Arabidopsis thaliana: one gene and its partners. The protein of the gene in region 1 interacts with the protein of each later gene in a pairwise test. Each region holds a gene or a part of one and is shown in the gene's direction. Other genes may lie near its edges.

The links.
Region 2: the proteins of HB25 (region 1) and HB21 interact in a two-hybrid assay, tested with the Arabidopsis thaliana proteins (one study listed by BioGRID).
Region 3: the proteins of HB25 (region 1) and AtHB23 interact in a two-hybrid assay, tested with the Arabidopsis thaliana proteins (one study listed by BioGRID).

The regions. Positions count from the first base shown.
Region 1 is NC_003076.8:26,134,282-26,138,178, forward strand, and holds HB25 (homeobox protein 25), read left to right. Parts: upstream 1-1,720; 5' UTR 1,721-1,897; coding exon 1,898-2,737; 3' UTR 2,738-3,273; downstream 3,274-3,897. UniProt on the Arabidopsis thaliana protein: Putative transcription factor.
Region 2 is NC_003071.7:8,048,841-8,053,181, reverse strand, and holds HB21 (homeobox protein 21), read left to right. Parts: upstream 1-1,865; 5' UTR 1,866-1,968; coding exon 1,969-2,056; intron 2,057-2,296; coding exon 2,297-2,634; intron 2,635-3,282; coding exon 3,283-3,519; 3' UTR 3,520-3,811; downstream 3,812-4,341. UniProt on the Arabidopsis thaliana protein: Probable transcription factor.
Region 3 is NC_003070.9:9,354,036-9,358,042, forward strand, and holds AtHB23 (homeobox protein 23), read left to right. Parts: upstream 1-1,791; 5' UTR 1,792-2,090; coding exon 2,091-2,196; intron 2,197-2,277; coding exon 2,278-2,648; intron 2,649-2,913; coding exon 2,914-3,204; 3' UTR 3,205-3,467; downstream 3,468-4,007. UniProt on the Arabidopsis thaliana protein: Probable transcription factor.

The DNA.
Region 1 (3,897 bases):
CGTAAGCACGTCATCTCAAACGTCTTTCAGGAATCCATTTGCTTCATTTCCTCCTCTTATTAATATTTAGTCGGTGTTTTATATATTTTCAGATCTTTATTTTTCTTGTAACATAAAAATTACACTTTTTTGTTCATGTCAAATGAGTTTTCATTATTCACTCTTAAATCTTAATCTCTGCTTTGAAATTTGAGCCGTACAAAAACATTCGCATTTATTGTTGATGCGACACAGATGTTACTTTTATTTTATTATACTATTATTCTGAAGGAACGGTCAGCTGTATTTTTATAGTATAATTTTAATTTAAATCATCATAATCTGGTTATTGAAAAATTATTTCATTTTCAACTTTTTATTGTTTTATAAGATTGGAAATATTTGAATATTGATGAGAGCGAATGTTGGTTTCCTTCTCGAATTCTCGTATACCAATGCTAATATTTCTTTAAAGAAAATACTCCATAGTATGTTTTTTCTTTAAATTTAATTAGCTACGTCAACAAATTTTTTATATTTCTCACAAATAACTTACGTAAATTCATCATGCAATTTTGTGTTGACAAGACCAATGACCCTCGACTGAATTAATGAAGAGACTAGTCGTTAAAAAAATAATACTCAGTTATATGAGTATATAATAGTGCTGGTCGTTTAAAGAAAACAGTAAAAGCATAGTGAAAGGATAAAAACTGTCGTCGGAGATCTAACGTCAGCATAAGTTAATCAGAGGCTGAGAAATGATCATCTCATACGTTTCGTCTTCACATTTGCAACTAATCTACAAGTATTTAATGTATCATTAAACTTTTGTTTACTTGATGACACAAAATAAAACTAAATAAAGTTTTATTTTAGTGTTTATATATTTATACTGAATTATTTAGTAATAATTCTGAAAAGTTGACAACAAAATTCAGACCTTGAAATTATTAAGGGCATTACTGATTTTGATGTGATTAGACTGCCCATCACTTTATTGCAGAAAAATATTAATGCATATATTTATGCTATTGGCATATGGACAAAAATAATTATCGCGTTTATTTTGATTCTATCCCCTTTTTTTTTAGTTTCCCAAAAAGTTATCTCTAATATCATCTCCTCTCTCTTTTTGTTTTTTAATCCTACACTAAGCTTTTTGTATTGTTGTATTGTCCAAAAATAACAAAAGCTTATGGAAAACTTGTAAAACCCATAAGCTACCTAGTGTGTTTTAAGATGAGCCCTAGAACTACTCCTGAAGAAGACAAACATGTTTAATTATATCATTTTAATTCAAGATTACATAAATAAGTTTTTAGTGTGTCATTTTTAGAAGAAAATTAGTAATATTTCGTTCAATTTTCACATGTAGGTAACAATCTTTACAACTTTAAGTAATAACCCAGGAAAAAATAAACAGTAAATGGAATCAAGTAAACACGAACTCAAATCAATTTCTTTTTAACGTGTCTTTTTATATCATAAACATGGTTAAAATTTGTGATCTAATACAAGAATAGTTGACTAAAACAAATCATGCATGGTCAGAGCGATACGACCAAATTGAATAAAATAATAGGAATATATAATTAATAAGAAAGTATAATAGCTCTTCAAGTAAAATTAGAAAGAAAGAAAGAAATAATGCAAAAGATAAAGAAAGCGTTACAAAGTGTGGTTGAGGACAGATTATATTAGATTCCGATTTCCAATAAACAAGAAATTATATAGCAAAAATAAAAGATAAAAATAAAATAAAAACACTTCTCAAATCGGCAAATCCAAAAGAGAGAGATAAAAGAGAGAAAGATAATCTCTTTAATGTCCACATTATCTCTCTCTTCTTCTTCACCTTCTTGAGAAACCTCCTCTCCCCAAAAACGACGTAGTTTCACATTTCTCGACTTCTTGAATGGAGTTTGAAGACAACAACAACAACAACGACGAAGAGCAAGAAGAGGATATGAATCTTCATGAGGAAGAAGAAGACGACGACGCCGTTTACGACTCTCCTCCTCTCTCTCGTGTTCTCCCCAAAGCCTCGACAGAAAGTCATGAAACCACCGGAACTACTTCCACAGGCGGTGGCGGAGGATTCATGGTTGTTCACGGCGGTGGAGGGAGCAGGTTTAGGTTCCGTGAGTGTCTCAAGAACCAAGCGGTGAACATAGGAGGACACGCGGTCGATGGTTGTGGTGAGTTTATGCCAGCTGGAATCGAAGGTACCATCGACGCTCTAAAATGCGCCGCTTGTGGCTGTCACCGTAACTTCCACCGCAAGGAATTACCTTACTTCCATCACGCGCCGCCACAACATCAGCCTCCTCCTCCCCCGCCAGGGTTTTACCGTCTTCCAGCTCCGGTTAGCTACCGACCACCACCGTCACAAGCTCCTCCTCTTCAGCTCGCTCTTCCCCCTCCACAAAGAGAGAGATCAGAAGATCCAATGGAGACGTCTTCAGCTGAAGCAGGAGGAGGGATTAGGAAGAGGCATAGGACTAAGTTTACGGCTGAGCAAAAGGAAAGGATGTTAGCTTTAGCTGAGAGGATTGGATGGAGAATTCAGAGACAAGACGATGAAGTGATTCAGAGATTTTGTCAGGAGACTGGTGTTCCGAGACAAGTTCTTAAGGTTTGGTTACATAACAACAAACACACTCTTGGTAAGTCGCCTTCACCACTTCATCATCATCAGGCTCCTCCTCCTCCACCACCACAGTCTTCGTTTCATCATGAACAAGACCAACCATGAATCTTGAATTTCTTTGATCACTAGGGTTTTAATTTAGCTTAATTAATTACTTGAGAAATTTGAGAGACAAGGTTTTTATTGTTTAATTTATGTACCCATTTTCCTCTTTGATGATGATGTTGATGATGTTGGTGATGATCTTTAATTTCTGGTTAATTATGTTTTGCATTAGTAGCTTTTTAAGTCTCTTAGCAAAATCTTTGATTGGTCTGACTATAAATTACTGACGTCCTTATTTGCATCACATTTGTCAGTGTTTGAATTTATCATGTTTTGTGTATGAATCTATATGAACTTGATCCTGAATATATATGTACATGTATTTTGTGTATGCATTATTTATGTCTTCTTTAGCATATGATTTCATTTTTATTTTATTTTGTGCAGCCTAAGCTTTTACTTGTTGACATTGTTATATATTGTTTCTTAAGTTCCTGGTGTTTTTGTGTGTTATTATATTTGACTGACCATTATTTTCACCCACACACACATTTGTAGCTAGCTAGATCTGATAGTGTTCTTGTTTCTTAAGTTCTAGGTTTTTGAGTGTTTATATATTTTCTTGATCATTTTTTACCACACATATCTAATGATAAATTGGTTATTGTCATAATTATATCTTATGTGGGATTCTATATATATATATATACTTGTCATTTAATTGTCCAATGAGTGTAGGACTCAAATGTGGATCGGTCGGAATTTCCTTGGGATGGAGATCTCTGCCCTAAGAATTAAATAAGTATTTCAATGGCTTATATTATTATCATATATGCGTGAATTAAATAATTTTTTTTTTCCATTGGAAATGAAAAAGGTGAAATAACATCAGCTAGCTGCGGCAACAGTATTCTGATTCCTGGGAATTAATTCTTCACTTAAAAAAAAAAAAAAAAATTAAACTCAAAACATGTCGATGCATCCAAAGCTTCTTATATCCTCTTTATGTCTTATATTATATGTATATGTATATTGTTCTTTGAAGATCTGGGGAAGAAGGAAACATGTGGGCTTCTTTGGAAGCAAGAAGGAGAAGATAGGAAAACATATGGGCACACATACATTACTGCATTAATGATGTTCTTCTTCCAAATCCCTAGACTTTCATCTGGAACTAATTTTGTTTACTTTTTCTTAAGATCACTCATTCACTTATTTCA
Region 2 (4,341 bases), on another chromosome or scaffold:
TGTAAACCAGGAATCAAACGTTAGATTATCCATGATTAACCGAATACTCTAATTATACAAATAGAGTGTATCATTGTAACGGAATCTTTAAGAGGAATAACAGAATAATTTCATCTTCTTCGTTTTTTTTTCAAATTCTCGTTCACTAATATGGTATCATAGAGTTAAGTTTTAAAATCTCAACCGATTTGACCTAAATTTCATGGATCTTTGAGATTCTTCTTCTGTAGATCTCACTGAAGTCTCGTTCACTAACAATTAGCCATTTTTTCCACAATATATATATTTTCTATATTAAAATTATATATTTTATTTTAATATATCTATATATATATATATATATATATATATAACATTAAGTCATATATATATCTAAATTATTCAGAATGTAAAACAGGAAAAACAATTATTCAAAATGGGTAAAGATATAATCTGGGTATGTCAACATTTGTAAAAACGTTTTCTAAGAAAACAAAACAAAATAGTTGTTCAAAATGGGTAGAGTAGTTTGAATTTTAAGGTATATGTATTAAACCCAAATTTTGAAGGTTACTTTGTTCTTTGAATATAACTTACCACGGTTTTACATGGATTCTATATGCAGAATATTGTTATTTATTTATGAAATGTTATTTTTACAGTATGTACATATGCATACGTATGTTCAAAATATATGTTGATCATTGCTAAAAAGAAAAACGATTACCTCGTATTTATTATTTTAAACTCTGAATAACCTAAAATGTGTTTCCATTTTGGCTATACAACAAAATAAACGTTAACATTAACGTAGACCATATATGTTTCGAGTTTAAAAACCGATTAAAGAAAACATTTGAAAGAGTGAGTAAAATTATTAGTATACGAGAGATGAGAGTAAAAGTAAACTACCTTTTGAAAGACAAGTCAGTTATGTTTTCTCTTTTAGGTTGTTGCTTAGACTTATCCATATGATGGTGATAACGACATCCTCTAATCCTCTCATCACACGTAAATTAAGCTTTATCGCATTACATATTTATAAATGATAATTACATGTATTTCCTTTAGTTTTTCAAAGGCGACCTATATATTGATTATTGCTTTGGTTTTAAAGACTACGTACGTGTTAATATCCATACCTTAAGAAGCATTTTAAAAATGGAATATGTTTCATAAGACTTTTTTTGTTTTGATAAGAATTTACATGAACTAATTAACTTGTTTATGCTTCTTAAGATAATCAAGGGTTTGTATGTCAAAACACACACTATTTAGGAGCTCTAGTAATTAAGTGAGTTTTGGTTCCAAATTGCCAACAAAGTGTAAGATCTACAACAAAGATCGAATAAATTAAACTACGGCGGTTTAGTTGAAAAGTTATTGAACTATAGGCTGCATATTTTAGAAAATTCCTACGTAAACAATATATCCGCATTATAAATTTTCAATTCTAGTTAAGATTTCTATTTTATATATAAAAACATAAAATGATCCATTTATCAATTGTTACCAAATTATAAAAACATAAAATGATTTTATAGTCCAAATAATATTGGGAGGTTGTTTATTCTTTTTTTTTTTTTTGGTCTCTTACTTATTGTCACATGAATTTGACAAAGAAAATGATATTGTCAAGTTAAAGTCATGTATTTTCAATATGAAACAATATTAACTATTAAGATATTAACGAAAGTGATGTACATATGTCATTTGAGATCTACTACTAGTCTTGATTTGCTAAGTGGCAATAATGTTATTTGAAAGAATCATAAGCCCAAATCCGGAAAAAAGAAATATGTATTAGAAAAAAAAAAACTCTAATCAAACCATCCCTTGACACCTACTCCTCCTTTATAAATGATAAGTCCTCTGCTTCTCCTAACACATCTTCTCTTATTGCAGAAAAGGTGAGACAAAAAACATCACCAATCTTTTGAATCTAAGAGAGAGAAGAAGAAGAAGGTCTAGAGAACGAAAAGAAGAAACATGAATAACCAGAATGTAGATGATCATAATCTTCTACTCATTTCTCAATTGTACCCTAATGTCTATACTCCATTAGTACCACAACAAGGTTTGCACATCCTAAAGTTCCATTTTTTTGTTTTCATATATTAAAAAAGACATCCAAAATTGGTTATAGAAATATCTTCAAGTGGGTCTTCTTTATTTTTGTTCTGGATAATATGTTTGTCTTCTGTAGTCTTTTCATTTTCATATACGTACATGATACTAGAGAAGACTTAAAAGAGCTAAACATTTAAAGAATTTATGTTTTGTTGTACCATTGGTTTTGATGGGTTTCTTTGACCAGGAGGAGAAGCAAAACCAACACGGCGGAGGAAAAGGAAGAGCAAGAGTGTTGTGGTGGCAGAGGAGGGTGAAAACGAAGGCAATGGGTGGTTTAGAAAGAGAAAATTGAGTGATGAGCAAGTAAGAATGTTGGAGATTAGCTTTGAAGACGATCATAAGCTTGAATCCGAGAGGAAAGATCGGCTTGCTTCTGAGTTAGGGCTTGATCCTCGTCAAGTCGCCGTCTGGTTCCAAAACCGCCGTGCACGGTGGAAGAACAAACGAGTCGAGGATGAATACACTAAACTCAAGAATGCATACGAAACCACCGTCGTTGAGAAATGTCGTCTTGATTCTGAGGTACGTTCTCACATTTTCTAAAAGATAAGTAAATTATTTGGTATTTTGGTTAATAATCTTTAAATATAATATAGTTATAGCTTTTATTTAAGTTGATCAAAGATAAAAGTTACCCGTTTTTCTCTTTTAATCAAGAGTTCCTATTTGTGAACATAAAATATTATAGTGTTTTACCAAAAAATGTTGTTATTTTTTTCTATAAGGTATAAAGATATTTTCTAAATTATATTGTTTTTACAAGATGATGGACACCAAGTGAAACCATCACGTAGTATAATTAAGCAAATGAGAAAGAAAAATCAAAATGCTGATTGAATTTTAAAGTTTTTTTTTTTGTTACCTTCTATAGCTAAAATAGTAATATATGTAAACTAATAATTGTAGTGTAATTATCTTGGTTCTATAAAAGAAAATCATACAGCAAAGTGAACAGCAAAAAAACAAAAGTGTCATTATATGTAATTATCTTTCCGTACAAACACCCTTTGTTTTCTAGTGGTTACTCGCTTGTCTAAGTCATTGACTCATTGGGTCTCTCTTATCACCAGCCCCACAAAATAAAACTCATCAAATCAAACTCTAATAATAACATGATTAGCTGTTAATGGGAAATGATTATCTCTAAATCAAATCAAATTATAATTTCAGGTTATTCACCTAAAGGAACAACTTTACGAGGCTGAAAGAGAGATCCAACGGCTTGCAAAAAGAGTTGAAGGAACTTTAAGTAACAGTCCTATCTCATCCTCTGTGACCATTGAAGCCAATCATACGACACCGTTTTTTGGAGATTACGACATCGGATTTGACGGTGAGGCTGACGAGAACTTGCTCTACTCGCCAGATTACATTGATGGATTAGACTGGATGAGCCAATTTATGTAAAAAACTATAAGCTAATCTATTTTCAGTCGTAGTATAGTATATAAATATATAGGGGTTAATTGTGACAATTACATTAATTTATGATTGGTCGATATCTACAATGAAGCAGGATGTAGATAAAATTATGGGCCTATTCGCTAGTGTAATATTGTGGATATCTTTCTCGTAGCATCGATTATTTAGGTCGATGGAGGTCAAGTTTGGACCCAAGAAAAAAAGAATGTATATATCTGTCAATTATAAGTAAATTGTATATTTCTATTGATCTAGTTATAGAAATATTAAGCATAAATATTATCATTCATGTGAATGTCAAAGCATCCAAATTGTATTCAGTACTACATTCACATCGTTAAACATATCTTCTAAAATTAATACCCGGATAACCAACAATCTAACTAACAAGATACACTTTAAAAATTGGATATGTTGAAAACAAAAATGCTACAATCAATCAACAAAACCGTATAACCAGTTTGAGAATGTATTACGAATTTTTCTTTTTTTATAAAGAAGAATTATTTTGTTATTCCTATTTATCATGTAAAAATATAAGTTATTTAAAGAAATTGAGCTTAGTATTAAGAATTGCGTATGTCAATATTTTGATATTTTTTAAGTCGCATATTTTACATTATGGGGAAGAATGTTCTTTTATTTGCAGTGAACGTCTCCATTAGCAACTTTACGCATCATCAATACGTGATAGTATGATACGTATAAGAATTTGTACGGTTTAGAATACGGACTATTGGTCATTGGAATCTATAGCCTGATAGAAACTAAAGCATGTCTTCTTGTCAGGTTGCTAAGTACGTGTTT
Region 3 (4,007 bases), on another chromosome or scaffold:
ATGAGAAGCCATAGCACAAACGTACTAGGAATGACAACAGATGAGAGTCTTCTATCCCTGTCGTGAGAAAACCAGCCACCAATTTTGAATCTACCTCAAGCTCCAGCCGCGTTATACCCTTCTCCCAAGCTATAACCAACCCGTAGTACACACCCCAAAGCTCTGCTAACGGAGCCGTGCACCGCCCTAAATTCAGGGCAAAACTTCCTCGCCAATCCCCGTACTCGTCCCGCAAAGCTCCTCTTTTTCTGTTATTGTAGTGTGTGATTTGGCTTGTTCTCGCAAACATATATACCAACATTAAACAATACTCAAGTTTGTCCCCCCAAAAAAACTAATACTCAAGAAAATATACAAGTTGTTTTTCCATTTCAACAATTGGCCTTAGCCATATGTGTATACTACAATTTAAGATTGCATAATACATTAAGAAGGAATAGGCTTGCAATGTGATTTTTTATTAAGCAAAAAAATGAAAAAATATATATTTTGTGTACACCTTTTGATACTAAATGAAAAATTGAGCATATTTATTTATATGCGTTTGTTTGTATGTCGTTGAATTGCACTTTTCATATCTCATGCAACATAAAAAATTCATAGAATAAATAGTTTATGCTTTTAGATAAATACAATTGAGGTTAAAACACACAAAAAAGAACAACTCGTGGTAATTTATAAAATAGTTTCAACAAAAATATTTAAACTTGTAGAATATAGACTTGTTGATTACAAAATGATTTGATAGGGAGACCAATTTATACAGTAGTTGGGCCTATATTAAAGTATTTTATCATAAAACCGACCAAAACGTCTAAGAAAGTTGATAAGTGGGGGACCTGAGAAAGAGAAGAAGAAGAAGGAAGAAACCGGCCTCGCATATAAAATGGGCTTTGTGTCAAAACACAATCTGCGGTGATGAAGAGCTTTTTGTGTCCCCCGAAAGTATGTTTACCTACCATAGAGAAAAAGTCATGTTATGTTGTAAAAGGTTTTAAAAAGAAGAAGTCTAATCATATCATAGACTAGTGAGAGTTACCATGTAGGACCTTAGAGTTTGCTTTCATTTCATATCATTGAGACATAGACAAGTGATACCATGTAGGGCCTCTAAGAGTTTGCTTGCATATACTTCTTGACGACCAAAATCACTAGTTTTAGTTCTCGTTAGAAATAAAATTCCATTGACTTGAACACTTATGCATGCAACCATCCAAATGCTTATGTAGGGCATGCTGTTAAAAGAAATTTTAATTAGATATCAACTTTGAAATATTTCATTAAGAATATCAGTTTTTTTTACATATCATATTTAAATTCAACTCTTTTTTTGAAGAGAAAGTGGTAAGAGTATCTAGATCTATAAACTCCCAAAATTTGAAGTATTTGTTACAAATACTCAAATTGTTCATTACGGTACATATTTAATTATACACATCTGAATTAAATATATTCACAATAAATTAATTATGATAATCTAGTGGTTGAAAAAATTACTATTAAATTGAGTGACCATAATCTAATCAATTCACTGTAATATCAATCATGGTTGACCACTGTAAACATCTTAAATTGCAAGAATATGCTATCTTTCACAATGTCCGGAGATTATTATGAATTTCGTTTCAAAAATTCTATAATAGAAAAATATACATATATAATTAGTATGACTATGATATATCTGTCTTTCTATTCGTAAAAAACAAGAATTATCTTTAAAAATACTTGATATGAAAAACTACATAGTACATATCCGTAATCTACCAAAACGGATACAACGTAGTAAAATTAGGGATTTTCCAAAACATACAAAAGCCCATATTCCACCCCTCCAAAGACTATAATCATCCCATGTCTACCTCTCTGTCTCATCGGCTTTGAGTCTTGTCTCCTATTTTATATACTCATATAATAAACAAAATAAAACCAAATTTTCTAATCTAGCTAGTATTTAGCCTATAAGTGGTGTATACTCAGTCTTCTAATTCATTTCACCACCATCCTTCTTCTTCTTTATTTAGTTTTCTTTCTGTACTTTGAACCAAGACAAGGTGGTGGAGAGGAGAAGAAGAAAACAACCAACAAGAGACATGTCTTGTAATAATAATGGCTTAGCTTTCTTCCCTGAAAATTTCAGTCTCCAAAACCATCACCAAGAAGAAGAAGATCACCCTCAACTTCTTCAAGACTTCCATGGTACATCATCTCAATTAACACCTTTGTTCAAAATTTCTAATCCTTTTTTTTTCTACTTCTCAAGATCTTCTCTGTTTTTAGGGTTTCTAGGTAAAAGATCTCCAATGAACAACGTGCAAGGGTTTTGTAATCTAGATATGAACGGAGATGAAGAATATTCAGACGATGGATCTAAGATGGGAGAGAAGAAGAGGAGATTGAACATGGAACAATTGAAGGCACTAGAGAAGGACTTTGAGCTTGGTAATAAACTTGAATCAGATCGAAAATTAGAGCTAGCTCGTGCCTTGGGATTGCAACCTAGACAAATTGCTATATGGTTCCAAAACAGAAGAGCTCGATCCAAAACCAAGCAGCTTGAGAAAGACTATGACATGCTTAAGCGTCAATTCGAAAGTCTCAGAGATGAGAACGAAGTTCTTCAAACTCAAAATCAAAAGCTTCAAGCTCAGGTAAAAGCAGAAACTTCATAACACAAAAGTACTCTGTTTCTTTTTTAATCTTAAATACTCTGTTTTTTAAATCATATATTTCATAAAATATGAATCTTTTTTAGTTGAATTTTATAAAAACAATGCTCTTTTTTGTTTTTTATTGATGTTATTCTTTCAGTTTCGAATTCATAATTTGGAATATATTTGTTTTAGGTCAAAACATAATTTGGAATCATTTTGCAATTTTACGTTCTTTCTTAAATAGTTTGTGTAAATTATGCAGGTAATGGCATTGAAAAGCAGAGAACCAATAGAATCAATCAATCTGAACAAAGAAACAGAAGGATCATGTAGTGACAGAAGTGAGAACATTTCTGGTGACATCAGGCCACCGGAGATCGATAGCCAATTCGCCCTAGGCCATCCACCGACAACTACAACGATGCAGTTTTTTCAGAATTCATCGTCAGAACAGAGAATGGTGAAAGAAGAGAACAGTATCAGTAACATGTTCTGTGGAATTGATGACCAGTCTGGGTTCTGGCCATGGCTTGACCAGCAACAATACAATTGAATGTGGTCGATCTGTTCTTGTTTGTATTAAAATTTTCGTTTTCTTTAAGTGGTCAGATGAACCAATTCATGTTTCAAGAATCTATATTTAGTCTATATGCACCAACTAAGCTAGTAGTTTTTTTGGGTAATGTGATGTAAGAGAATTAATGGGGGAAATATTCATCATATTATATGATAATTAATCAATCATATGGGCCATATGATTAGACATTAAAAAAAGTCTGAACCATGTGCTTTTATATCGTACAACTAATATCCAGAAAACTCTAAGAAATAAAAATTTTAAAAACCCACCCAAAAAGACTTTTCCATGAAACAAATTATGCTTATGTCATAATTAAGTCTATAAGATGAACAAAAATAGAAGACATGATCTTAAAAATAGATCATTAATTACGATTAGCGGTACAATAAACTGTAGAAATCATATAGTTAAATGGCACGGTTGAAGTAAAATGTGAAGTGTGTGAAAGAAAGAGCATCAATTTACAGATTCCGAGGAGAGGATGCAAACAAATAGGGTTGGAAAGTGGTCATTCTCTTTCTGAAAATGGACCCAACACTTTTTACCCTTTCATCGACACTGACATTGCCCGACGACTCCAAATTTGTTATTCATATAAGCCATCTCTTAGGCTATGAATGGTGACATACACCGTACCCAAAACCGCACCGCAACAGTGTCAAAATCTCTACATATACATATGTATTTATATATTTTTGTTACTATTTGAACCGCACCGCACTTCTTCCGTACCGCAAAACGCAGTCGCCATTCGGACCTTTAATTAAAAAATAATA